Linked DNA regions of Caenorhabditis elegans. The protein of the gene in region 1 interacts with the protein of each later gene in a pairwise test. Each region holds a gene or a part of one and is shown in the gene's direction. Other genes may lie near its edges.

The links.
Region 2: the proteins of rfc-4 (region 1) and Y57G11C.22 interact in a two-hybrid assay, tested with the Caenorhabditis elegans proteins (3 studies listed by BioGRID).
Region 3: the proteins of rfc-4 (region 1) and K09A11.1 interact in a two-hybrid assay, tested with the Caenorhabditis elegans proteins (2 studies listed by BioGRID).

The regions. Positions count from the first base shown.
Region 1 is NC_003281.10:6,970,682-6,974,351, forward strand, and holds rfc-4 (Replication factor C subunit 4), read left to right. Parts: upstream 1-1,571; 5' UTR 1,572-1,578; coding exon 1,579-1,640; intron 1,641-1,686; coding exon 1,687-1,765; intron 1,766-1,810; coding exon 1,811-1,905; intron 1,906-1,953; coding exon 1,954-2,014; intron 2,015-2,079; coding exon 2,080-2,336; intron 2,337-2,383; coding exon 2,384-2,516; intron 2,517-2,569; coding exon 2,570-2,800; intron 2,801-2,847; coding exon 2,848-2,934; 3' UTR 2,935-3,036; downstream 3,037-3,670. Other genes in the region: eef-1A.1 (Elongation factor 1-alpha), read right to left, coding at 1-585, 634-802, 856-999. UniProt on the Caenorhabditis elegans protein: The elongation of primed DNA templates by DNA polymerase delta and epsilon requires the action of the accessory proteins PCNA and activator 1. This subunit may be involved in the elongation of the multiprimed DNA template.
Region 2 is NC_003282.8:14,835,254-14,840,229, forward strand, and holds the start of Y57G11C.22 (PRKCA-binding protein), read left to right. Parts: upstream 1-1,957; coding exon 1,958-1,963; intron 1,964-2,064; exon of another isoform or gene 2,065-2,086; intron 2,087-2,559; exon of another isoform or gene 2,560-2,580; intron 2,581-2,582; coding exon 2,583-2,676; intron 2,677-2,744; exon of another isoform or gene 2,745-2,766; intron 2,767-4,976.
Region 3 is NC_003284.9:13,260,472-13,265,089, forward strand, and holds K09A11.1 (BED-type domain-containing protein), read left to right. Parts: upstream 1-2,023; 5' UTR 2,024-2,028; coding exon 2,029-2,125; intron 2,126-2,175; coding exon 2,176-3,194; intron 3,195-3,240; coding exon 3,241-3,423; intron 3,424-3,472; coding exon 3,473-3,634; intron 3,635-3,679; coding exon 3,680-4,036; 3' UTR 4,037-4,118; downstream 4,119-4,618. Other genes in the region: K08H2.10 (CUB domain-containing protein), read left to right, coding at 1-128, 257-427; cyp-14A1 (CYtochrome P450 family), read right to left, coding at 4,610-4,618.

The DNA.
Region 1 (3,670 bases):
GAAGAGATTCGTGATGCATCTCAACGGACTTGACTTCAGTGGTGACGTTTTGTGGAGCGAAGGTAACGACCATTCCTGGCTTGATGATTCCGGTCTCAACACGTCCGACTGGAACAGTTCCGATTCCTCCGATCTTGTACACATCCTGGAGTGGGAGACGGAGTGGTCGGTCAGTTGGGCGTTGTGGTGGAATGATGGAGTCGAGAGCCTCGAGGAGGGTCTTTCCGGAAGCGTTTCCTTCCTTGCGCTCAACGGCCCATCCCTTGAACCATGGCATGTTGGAGGAGACCTCAAGCATGTTGTCTCCGTTGAATCCAGAGATTGGGACGAATGGAACAGCCTTTGGATTGTATCCGATCTTCTTGATGAATCCAGAAACCTCGTTGGTGATCTCGGTGAAACGGGCCTCAGAGAATGGTGGCTCGGTGGAGTCCATCTTGTTGCAGGCAACGATGAGTTGCTTGACTCCAAGGGTCTGGGCAAGAAGAGCGTGCTCGCGAGTTTGTCCGTTCTTGGAGATTCCGGCCTCGAATTCTCCAGTTCCGCAAGCGACGACCAAGACGGCGCAATCGGCCTGGGATGTTCCTGCAATTAAAGTTTTATAAACGAGCTAAAAATTTAACAAAGTCGTACCAGTGATCATGTTCTTGATGAAATCACGATGTCCTGGGGCATCGATGATGGTGATGTAGTACTTGGCAGTCTCGAACTTCCAGAGAGCGATATCGATGGTGATACCACGTTCACGCTCGGCCTTCAGCTTGTCGAGGACCCAAGCGTACTTGAAAGATCCCTTACCCATCTGAAAAAAATCGGGTGAGAAAATCTTTCAAACTAGTTGTTTGTACTATTTACCTCCTGAGCCTCCTTCTCGAACTTCTCGATGGTTCTCTTGTCAATTCCTCCGCACTTGTAGATCAAGTGTCCAGTTGTGGTGGACTTTCCGGAGTCGACGTGTCCGATGACGACGATGTTGATATGAACCTTTTCTTTTCCCATGGCTGCTACGGAGTGAGCAAAGTGTTTCCCAACTGAAAAAAAAACAATTTAATTTAAAAGTAAGAAGAGTGCGGACGGTAGAGAGAATAAAAGTCGAAAAAATTATCCTAGAAACTTCTAATATTTTTAAAAATTAAAAAAATATAAAAAGTGAGGTCACAAATAAGACAGTTAGAACATTTGTTGAAAGCCTAAAATAAAAATTCGACTAAACAGTGAGAACAGGAAAAACGCTGGGACTGAATGTTTGACCTCATTATAAATTCATAAAATTTAAATTTCCTAATCTGGATAAAAACAAAGATAAAAACAAAATAAACCAACAAAAAACCAACATGATTAGTCAGATGACCAGAAAACTCACGTTAATTTCACAAGGCCCAAAAAAATCTCTCCCCCTCTCGTTGCTGCCTGCACATCTAACTCCTAGCACGAAAATGTACCGTACACCATTTCAAACACTCTCGGCGGGAGTGTTGCATACTTTTTCTCTCTGGCAGTTTATTTTCAATAAATTCTTCATTTTTATATTGTATAATGTCTTTATTTTATGAAAAATTCATTAATTTAACAGAAACAATGGAAGAACCAATGGAAGTTGACAATAAAAGACCAAAGGTGCTCACCTGGACAGAAAAATAGTTAGTTTTTTGTTTTTCGATTTGCAAAGTAAATTCAAATTTTCAGTCGTCCAAAAACGCTAGACGATATTGCATACCAGGATGAAGTCGTCACAATGCTGAAAGGAGCGCTTCAAGGAAGAGACGTATTGCTTAAAAAATTATTCAAACTAATCGTTTTAATTTTTCAGTTACCACATCTTTTGTTCTATGGACCACCAGGTACTGGTAAGACGTCAGCAGCTCTTGCATTTTGCCGCCAACTCTTCCCAAAAAATATTTTCCAGTAAGTGAAATACTGGGTGATAATTTTTTCCAATAATTATATTTTCAGCGATAGGGTTCTTGATTTGAATGCATCGGACGAGCGTGGTATTGCAGTTGTTCGTCAAAAAGTAAGATTGCCACTGATTTTTAATTAATTAAGAATTCCATAATTATAAAAACGTTTCCTGTTTAGATTCAATCCTTCTCCAAGTCATCTTTGGGCCACAGCCATAGGGAAGATGTTCTCAAATTGAAAATTATCATACTTGATGAAGTTGATGCGATGACCCGAGAAGCACAAGCAGCAATGCGCAGAGTTATTGAAGATTTTTCCAAAACTACTCGCTTCATTCTCATCTGCAACTATGTTTCCCGATTGATTCCTCCAGTTGTGAGCCGTTGTGCCAAGTTCCGATTCAAATCACTTCCAGCCGAGATTCAAGTTCAAAGGTGAAATTTCAAAATTAAGTGTTTTTTATAACTTTCGGTGTTTTTAGATTGAGAACAATTTGTGATGCAGAAGGAACTCCCATGAGTGATGATGAACTGAAACAAGTTATGGAATATTCAGAAGGTGATTTGAGACGAGCTGTATGTACACTTCAGTCATTGGCTCCAATTTTGAAAAGTGTTAGTTGTTTTTTCTATAAATATTGTGTAAAAATAGTACTTTATATTTCCAGGGCGATGACAATGCTCGAAATTGCTATCTCCGTGGTTCTTCGGACAGTTTACTCATTTCAAACGTTTGCAAATCAATCCTGACTGCTGATGTTCCCCAAATAATTGCATTGACAAAGGATATCACAAAATCGTGCACTGGTGTTGCTTTCATTCGTCGTTGTTTCCAACAGTTGATGGATGAAGATGTTATCAATGACGAGAATATTGGAGTAATGGGGAAACTGGTTGCGGTTGGTGGAAGATGAATACATAAATAGAAATGAAAGTTCAATTTCAGACTTGCGAAAAGCGAATTTTGGATGGATGTGATTTGGAAAACAATCTCCTCGACTTTCTGCTCACTCTTCGTGAAACTATCCAATGATAAATTAACACAATACGGTTTCAATTTGCCCATTGATTTCTCAACTTCAAAATTCACGTGTACTATATATAAATTTTAACATTCTATAAACAATAGTTTTGTGCTCAAATTTCGACAAAACATTGAGATTATTATATTTTTTTGAAGGTACAATTCGGCTTAGGTTTTTTTTCAGTTGAATACAAAATATCGAATAGGATAGTTTGGAATAAATAACTACTAGTTCCCTCCCAACTATTTTGCTCTCCGCTCAGTTTTTCACCCTCTGTCGCCCATCGATTTTCGCTCCTTGAAGACTCGGCTCCCCTTCCATTTTCTAAGTAATCTCGCCCCATTGAGCAGTTTTCATTTTTGGTATGAAGCTGAAGAAGTGGAAGTATCCAATTTCAAGAGCTTTTTTGTCTCAAGCAATTTGTGTGAGAATTTGAATTGAGGCAATTTTGAATCCCATTTCATTGTGAATTTCTTTTCTACTATAGCTCTGCTTCATTTTCCATATGATTTCAATTGAAGCTTCCTGACTCTGTACTAATATTAGAGAAAGTGGGGTCAATTCGAAAGTCCACCGTCTGATCAGTACTCAAATTTGATCGAGTCAATGTGTCTCAGTGCTTATAATCCGTGTACCTGCTCCTGATCACACTTGCTCACTGTCTCTGTTTGCTCTTTTCCTGTATGTTTGTGTCCTTCTTCTTCTCCTCCTCCTGCTCCCAAAAATTCTTTCATCATTCCGCCA
Region 2 (4,976 bases), on another chromosome or scaffold:
AATAATGATCAGTTTCAATAAGTTCTTAATCTCATTGAGATGAATTTTATTGATCTTTTAGAATACTGTGGAAATGTAGCTTATAATAAGTCTAGTTCAATAAGAATGAAGCCTTATTATAAGCTACATTTTCGTGTAGAAATTTTAAAAATGTTTAATATTCATATTTGAATTTGTTAAAATATGTGTTTCAAATTAAATATCCGTAATTTGGAGGGTTTTCAATGACGTTTTTCGACATTTTTGCCGGTTAACTCCAGCCATTTTGTTTTTTGTGCGAAGTAAGGAAAACTTTCATTTCGATTCAATAGAATTAAATTCCGACAATGTTATTTTTTTGTTTCAGTCAATTTGATTCGGTTTTTGTCAAAGTGTTACAATTTGCAGTTTTTATTTTGTTTTTTTTCAATTAGGCATATGCTTTGTCCAGTATAACTCCTGTGAAACATTTGTGAATTTGTAGAAAAAATAATGTCCCGTTTCAATAAGTTTTCAAAGGTATCTCTTCGAGATGAATTTTATTATTCCGCTAGGAATCAGTGGATATGTAGCCCATAATAATTCTGTCAACTTTAATTCCAATTCAGTTATTGTCAAAATATTAATTGCAGACAATTTTGTTATGCTTTCGGTTTAATACTATTTTGGTTCTTAAATCGAACAACTTTGGTTTTCCAACTTCATATAACAATTTAGAGATTTTTTTTTCTGAAAACTAAGAAAAAGTTACACATTTCCTATTTTCAAGTTATTTTTTCAGTTATTTTCACTAACTAGTTAACTGATCACAAAAAACTTTGTGGAAAATATTCAAAACCTTAGTGACAATAATGTTCTGTTTCACGAAGTCCTTAAAAGTATCTTGTAACGGTGAACTTTAGTTCAAAGTTTCTCTGTTTGCGGCAATATATAAATTTCAAGAAATTTTACTATGTTTCTAGCTCAACACATTTTCAGAGTCTATAAAAAATGAAAACATTTTATTAATTTTTTTCCTGTTTCAGTGAGTTTTTAAAAAAAATTACCTTCTGTAGTTTCTAATCGGTTCCATGCTGCAATTTTAACCTCAACTTTGGAAAACTGGTATTAGTGTAGATTTACAAAGTTCTCGTTTTTTTTAAATTTTGGTTTAAAAAACGGGAGTTTTCCTGGAATTTACAAGGAAAATTGCAGAATCTGAATTCATTGAGATTTTTTTTACACTTACGCCGAAAATGTATAAACTCTGTGAAAAGGTTGCGAATTTTTAGTGAAAATATTGTTCTGTTTCAACAAGTTTTTAAAAGCATCTCGCAAAAAATTAATGTAGTTAATGAGCGTTAAATATGTATATCGTATTCCCTTTATCAATTTGTATTCCTGCGACAAATTTCCGTCAAAGAGAAATTTGTCTAGTTGGTAGTTTGTAGGATATAGTTTGTAACTGAAAATTTTAATTGCAGTTCAGTCTTTTGCCAAATATAAATTTAGTTATGTTTCTGGTTTAATACAATCTCAGAATCTCAGTGAAAAATAGTTCATCAATTTGTTTTTTCTCTGTTTCAGCAAGGAGTTTTAAATCCAGGCATTTCTTCTGTAGTTGATAATTTTTTTGAAGATTTACGAAATTTTCGTTTTCATTAGTGGTCGCTTTTTAGACATGCAGACATTTTGAGGATTCATGCACGGCCTACAATATATTTTCTCAAGCTTCCCAAGGCCTCTCTTGTCGTCTTAAATTCTGCCACTAACCCCATTTTGAATCAAATGCACATTGAGCTCATCTTCCATGCATCTCCTCCCTTCTCCTCTCATTCTCCATTTTCAGTGTGCATGATTGTCTGCGTCTCCCGCTTCTCTACACTCTCTCGTAGTCTCTACATCTCTCCGTCTCTGTGCTCTTTTTGCTCGTGAAGCTTTTAGTACTGCTAGAAGGAGTGAAGGAGTGACAATCGATTTTAAAGCAGAAAAATTAATTATGGATGTAAGTATTTTTTTTCAATTGTTTGTGTAGTTTGAAATTGAGCTAAAAAAACTGGAATGTTTCATGTTTTTATTAAAAAAGAACAATAAAAATCATAACTATTATAGTTACCATCAGAGGTGGGCGGATATTTTTTTCTGATATTTTCTAATAATGAATTTATCAATAAGTATTGATGTAGTTATTCTGGAAGAAATGTATCCGAACAAAAGAGTAACTATTAAGAAACATTTTAATATGATAAAACCTAGAAAAATTCTACAAGTTTTCTGTATAAACGATATGCAAGTCCATTATCCGATATCCGTAATATCCGTAATATCCGATATCCGATGTTGCTCGGCTAATAAGTTTTAAGGTCTCGGTAAGGAAAACTTGTAGAATTTTTCTAGGTTTTATCATATTAAAATGTTGCTTAATAGTTACTCTTTGGTTTGGATACATTTCTTCCAGAATAACTACATCAATACTTATTGATAAATTCATTATTAGAAAATATCCGAAAAAATATCCGCCCACCTCTGGTTACCATAATCGTGAAAAAACTTACTGTTTCACTTTCTAACAAATAATTTGTAGGTTTTCAAATTAATTATTGTTTTTTAACCATATTTTACAGTTCCAAATCGAAGAAGACCGGCTCGGAATGAGAATTCAATCGGAGACAATTGAGTTGACTAAAGATGAAAAAGGTGTCGTCGGAATTTCAATTGGTTTGTTCATTTTTTTCTCTGATGCTTGTATATAAATGGAAACCAACTCAAAATAATTTTTTAATAATAACTCGATAATGTTTAAGTGAATAGTTTGGTTTTTGAAACACTTCATTTAAAAACTACTAGAAACAGAAAAAAATGAAAAAAAAATGTTTTTCAAACAATTTGAAATATTACGCTAGTAGTGGTAGAGTGTACAATTTACCATTCCTTGGTTTTTTTTTACCGTCTGACCAAGAATAGTGTGTGAAACGAGAGATTTAGAGAAAGACGAGAGAGTGAGAGATTTGGTTATAGTAAGAAAGAATCGATTTTTAAATAGTGTGCGTTTTTGAGAGATTTAGAGAAAGAGACTGGTAAGACATTTTTGATGTTCTTGGTTCATTCAACCAGGGGACGGGTTCGAACCCAGGACACTATTCGTCTAAAACAGATGCCATACCAATACACTATAGACGTAGTCGCAAACCCAGTAGCATTTGACTCTTTTCTATTTCGAAACATCTGCCGTTTAGGAGACGTCTTTTTCCCAAACGCGATTTGAATGAATGCAAGCGTTACCGAGATTGATGAAGGAAGGAGGCCCCCCTCCCCGCGCCCCTGGGGGTTTCAAGAGTAAAAGTTGATGAACAAGTTTTTTCAATTTACCTGTGCTTTTGAAAAATGATGCATTCAAAGCTATTTGAAGTTTTTCGATAAAGGGTTCTCCACCCGTTATCGAAAACTTTAAAGAGCATTCCCTACAAAAAACATGTTTTACATTTTTTATTATTTATTCAATTACAGATAAGGATAAGTATTAGTGTTACATGCATTACTAACAATTCAAACATTATTATACAATCAATCAAATTTTATAATTTCCAATATTCTTTCGGCATTTCTTACAAACGTCAATTTTCAAAGTTGACCCATCATATTGTGCACCGTCCTGACAATCTGAACAAAACAGGATAGCGGCAAGTGGTTCCATTTTTCGTAAAGCAAACTGGGGTTCCGTTGTCTTGGCAGCCGTGTGTGTCGTTTTAAAAGTTTTCACATTTTTCTTTCCCTTCTTCTCCGACATAGGAATATCAGAAACATTTGATGGCAAAAACTCTGGTTCCTGAGACGAGTTTTGAAGAGTTTCAAAATTCCAAAAGACGTTCGCAGGTGAAGGATCAGGATAAGAAAAGTTTGAGAATGAGGACATTATCAAAAAAAGTCACTACGTACAACAAAAAATTGAGCACAAATGAAGATTGAATTCAGAAAAGTGGGCGGCTCTTGAAATTGGCATGGACAAATCATAAAGTTAATACTCCTGATGCATCAATCCAAGAGTCAAATTCGGCACCATATCCGTCCCAACGAACGAGGTGCTGTTTCTTTCCGCGTACTGTACGAGTGGCTAAAATCTTTTCAATTCGATACTGAGCGTCTGGTTTATATGTGCATTTAGTCAGTTCTCGAGTGTAGAATATTCCGGCAATTTTTTCTCCATTAGTGTCTACTATATTGTAGGTAACTGGTTTCCTTGCAAACACTTTGGAAATTACATAAACTTCTGTAGTCCATCCTTGTTCGTAGCCCTTGTCAAATTGTCCTCGTTTTGCAGCGATTCTGACGTGATCTCCTACTCTGAATTTGATTTTAACGCTGTCTACAGGCATCGGAGTTGAAAAATCTCCCCGCTCAACGTCTACTGGTTTTTTACCAATTCCACGATTAACGCTATTGTTGATACCATTCACAACTTGTTGTAAAACGTCCACATAACGTCGGTTGTACTTTTGAGTCATGTACTTTGCCAATCGAGTTTTCAGAGTCCTGTTTGCCCTCTCCACAATTGCACACTTTATTTCGCTTTTGGGTGAAAATAGATTCACAAAATTCTTGGCCAACAACTCTTTGACATGCGAGTTGTAAAATTCCTTTCCATCATCACTGTAAATTGTCATTGGTGTGACACCAATTTCTTTAAAAATGTCTTGTAGAGCTAGAGCCACTTCTTGTCCTTTTTTAGACTTTAACGTTTTTACAAAAAGCCGTCGAGAGTAAATATCTATACAGACTAGTAGAAAGGTTACTCCGTCGTTTTCCTTCTTGTACCGGGACATATCTGCGAGATCAATTTGAAGAGATGCATAAAGACCAGGTGAGACTGTTTTCCGACGCGGGAATCGCGATTGATTCGGGCGGTGAAGCGTAAAAGATTCCAAATCTTCGAGAACCTTTTCGACTTGTTCATACTTTAACGACTTGTATTTTGGCTTCAAATATTTGTAAACGTTTTTTACAGATGAATAGGCGCAAGG
Region 3 (4,618 bases), on another chromosome or scaffold:
GAAAAAATTTTGTTAATGGAGAATATGTGGATCTTTCGGAGGAAGAAAAATTGGAATATAATGAAAATGAATATAGTGACTCTGAAAATGTTGAAGATGAAAGCGAAGAAGAAGTAGTAACTGTACAGGTTAGTTGAAAAAAGACCACATCATAAAAAATGTTTCGCATCTCGGTGCTTCTTACTTTTTTGAAACTTATTGCTCTACTGGAATACAGGAGAAAATAAAACATACAATTGTACTTAAAATATTTCAGAGATTTCGCCGAATACCAAGACAACAAGAAAGAATGATTGAAATAAATGGGGAAGCTGATCACAAAATCAAAATTGAAAGCTACAAGAAAAACAACGACTCCAAGAACATCGAAGGTAATGCAAATATACCATGGATTTATACATTTGTATTACTGCTTCTGTTGTTATAATAATTTACACTGATAACTTGTTTTATTTAGATTTCAATGCTCCAACGGGTATTGACTTTGCTTTAGCATATTTTTTCTCCCATTTCCAAGGTAGAAAGATTCAATCCATTACCATGACTTGCAATGAATATTTTACTTGAAATAATGAACACTAAAAAAATTGTGCAGTTTCTTGGTTTCTTTCGGAGCGTTTTAACAAACATGAATTTTACAGTCAAGGCCTACATTCAACTATACAAAAGATCATACAGTTGTATTAGAAATAAAACACGCTTCAAAGTCATGCCAGGCTTTCCGTACAACCGCCTCATTGGCTCAGTGGCAGAGCGTCTGTCTAGTAAACAGAAGGTCGCTGGTTCGATTCCAGCATGAGGCACCGAAATTTTTTGTTGACTTTTAACTCAAAATCGGTGTTCTGAAAAAAATTCTCTTATAACCCGTCACATTCTGCATATGAAATGAAAAGAAATGTAAAAAATCATTTACTATATATAAAGCGCGTGTCCTTCTGTCCCTATGTAGTTTGATCTTTGATCAGAGCAACGAAATTTTGGGAAACCTTATGCTAAGTGCGCAGCAGACATCGATCGAGGTCCGCGAGAGACACCGTATATCTAATGTGCTTTCTCAAATAGTCGGGGGCCGCGCCGTAGGTGCGGTCCACGGCTGGTATAAATATAAAATACAAGTAGATATAGAAAGATAAATGATTATTTAGCGCATACCTGTTGGTGTTGTTTAATTGGGTATTCATGGTTTGTTTCTGATGCCGTTTTTGGAGTATCCGTCCGCAATAGACCACATTCGTTTTTCGTTTTCTCGAATTATTTTCTACTACTTCAGCATCTCTATTCTGGAAAATACTTGGCACACTGACTTATAGTATCCTTTTTCTGCACAAATTATTGTGCAAAATTGTTGTGCCCAAAAATATCAATTAGACACCAAAGACATGGTTTCTGTTTCAGACCTCCCAGTTTTTTACTTTTTCGTTTACAGTTCTGAATGTTTGTAGAATATTGTCTACACGATTTTTTGTTTTCTGAAAAAAAAATTATTTTTCATAATTTGTATGATGTTTATTTATTCCCTATAGATGTCACAGTCTTTGGGGCGATTGGCGAACTGTGTCATGCTAGTTGGTAATAGTAACAGGAGAGACTAATGCAATGGTGGAGTGCACAGACATTGTGGCTGTCGGCATACATACGCCGATGTGCCGAGTATCCCATCTGCCGCACACATCTTTTGAGTCTGTCGTCTCCATTTGTTCTCCACTCTTTATTCGTATTGAATTTATATTAGTCGGTCGACATTTTTTTCTTTCTTATATAATTGTTCAAAAAATTTTTGAATATAAAATTTTTGAATAGCAGATATAGGAAATCTAGTCAAAATTTTAATGTGCCCGGAAATAGAATTTCTAATTTAAAATGTTTCGCATTTTTACAATATTTTTTTCTTTATTTTCTTCTCTCTTATTTTATATATTTTAGTGGTTTGTCATTTTCATTCGATGTGAGCCCAAATTTCGTGTTTTTGGACCCATCAAATGACATTGTACCTCATTTTTTATTGAAATATTATTGGTCTTACAGGACATGGTAAAATCACGAGTGTGGGACTATTTTCTGAAACTTCAAGATGGCCGCAACAAATGCAATTTATGCAACAAAATTTTGGCGAGAGGGAGTAGAGGTATAAATTTTCTTTGTTTAAAATAGTGTTTTTAATAAACATTGTTCCAGGTTCAACACATAACCTTATCAGTCATTTGACGCGAGTTCACCCAAAAGAATATGTTCTTCAAGAAGAGCCACCAGTTATGATAGCTCAGGAGGATTCTTCGGAATTCAGTTTTCAAAGTAACAATATGAAGACTGAAGATTTCACAATGCAATCATTTTTTGAACCAGAATTCATGAAACTGTATAATGATAACAATATCACCAAGTCTATTATGGAAATGATTTGCATGGATTCAATGCCAATGACGACGACTGATCGAGCAGGATTCAAGCGATTTATGACAAGTGTATGTCCGGATTATGAGTTGAAAAGTCCCTCATCAATGATATCATACGAGTTGCCAAAATTGTATCAAGAGTACGAAGACCAACTAAGAATGGAATTGAATTTGGCTGAGCACGTTGTTCTCTCTGTTGACATTTGGTCCGACAAAGGTTCGATACAGGAGATGATTGGAGTTACTGGAAACTTTTTGAAAAACGAGAAAGTAGTTCGTCGTACAATTGGAGTTATCAACTATCAAAAGGACGTACACAACGGAGTCTATGTTGCTGCTGAACTTGATAACCTGATGGCCCGGTTCAATTTAAATGGAAAAGTAGAAGTTGTCTGCAGAGATTACAATTCAATTGTAGAAAATGCATGTGACCATTTGAAAATTTCTTCAGTTAATTGCTTCAATCAACAGCTACATTTGGCAGCTTGTGAGGCAAAATCAAAAATTGGACAAATAAACAGAGTTTTGTTGAACTGCAAGCTACTTGTCAAAAATTTGAAAAACAGTTCTGTCACCTGGCAAACATCAGAGAAAATCCAAAGTTTAATGGAAATTCCAAATTTGTGCCTCAATCATTGCTCAGACGAATGTTGGTGTTTCTTGCAAGAATTCTTTGGGAGGGTCATAGAATGCCAACAAGTGATTGAAGAACTTCAAAAACTGCAATCGAGCGATTGGGACCTTATGAGAGATGTCGTGGAAATTCTGGCACCACTTAGCAAGTTTTCTAAATTATCAGAGGTAAATTTGCTACTATCATCATTACCCCTCTATGTTTTTTTTCCAGTCAAAAGAGTCGTCTGCTTCAGTGATCATTCCATACTGTGATTATCTTGTGAAAGCATACGAATCAACACAAAATCAGCCGGAAGCATTTTTGGCAGTTAAAGAACACATGGAAAGAGAGCTGCACAAATACACATCTTGCCAGTACTTGAAATTTTCCACTCTACTTGATCCGCGATATAAGGTATAACTTTAAAATATGAGAACAAGATTTGTTAAGTTGTATATTTCAGGATTTATATACAAACGACAGTGACACTTCCAATTTGATAAAGGCCATTGAAACTGAATTTGAAACGATGGATTACAAAAACAGAACATTTGAAGAGATTTCTTCAGAATTGTGTGGACCAGCTCCAAAATCTCAGAAACTTGATTTTGACGCTTATATACAGGTATTTAAAACTCAAAACATAGTTAAGTTAACAAATAAATTGCAGGAAAAAATTAAATCTCGCGGCAAACATAACGCATTAACTGGTGAAAAATTGACCGTGAGAATGGAAGTGACTCGATATCTCTCAACAGCCGTTGAAGATGTAACGCCTAGAGATTTCTGGCTAAACGATGTGACAAAAGCTTCTTATCCAAGACTTGCCAAATTCGCTCGACGTTTTATAATTTGTCCGACGGGATCTAGTGCAGCCGAGAAACTATTTTCAACAGATCGAGCGACTATGGATGAGTACAGAAATACTTTGTCTGATGAAAATTTGAAAATGCTCATTTTTTTGAACAAAAATATTTCTTCAATGACTGATCTTGAATTTGAAACAGAGCGGGACCTACATGACTAATTATTGATCTAATGATTTTATTTATTTGTTACTGAAAATTTCTGATTTTTTTTTGTTTTCCAATAAAAATCTTTATACTTTTTGTTGCAAATTTTGTGTCTTTAAACGATAGGGCAATAAAAACTAGCGTTGGAAAATACCATGAAAAAATAAATCGAAAAAATCAAAAAAGAAATCCGTCGAACCGGATTCGAACCAGTGACCTAAGGATACCCGCTGACTCTACAGTCCTCCGCTCTACCAACTGAGCTATCGACGGCATGTGAACATGCAACACGCTCTGCGTAAAAGTTCTTGCCCCTTCTCCCACTCTCTCTCTCTCTCTCTCTTTTGCTTTCGTGCGGAGAAGCATGAAAGATAGAGCGGAGAGAAGAAGCGTGAAAAGTGCCGGCGGCTTTCATGTGCTTGCTGACTAGAAAAGAGCAGTGGCTATTTTCTAGTTAGATAAATTGAATATTGTGAAAATGGTTTAATAAATGCACCACTGTACAAGAAAAAGCTTATTGAAATTCATCTTTAAAACTACATATATTATACATTGTTCATTTTTATTCAAAAACAAAGATCAGTAGTTTAAAATTG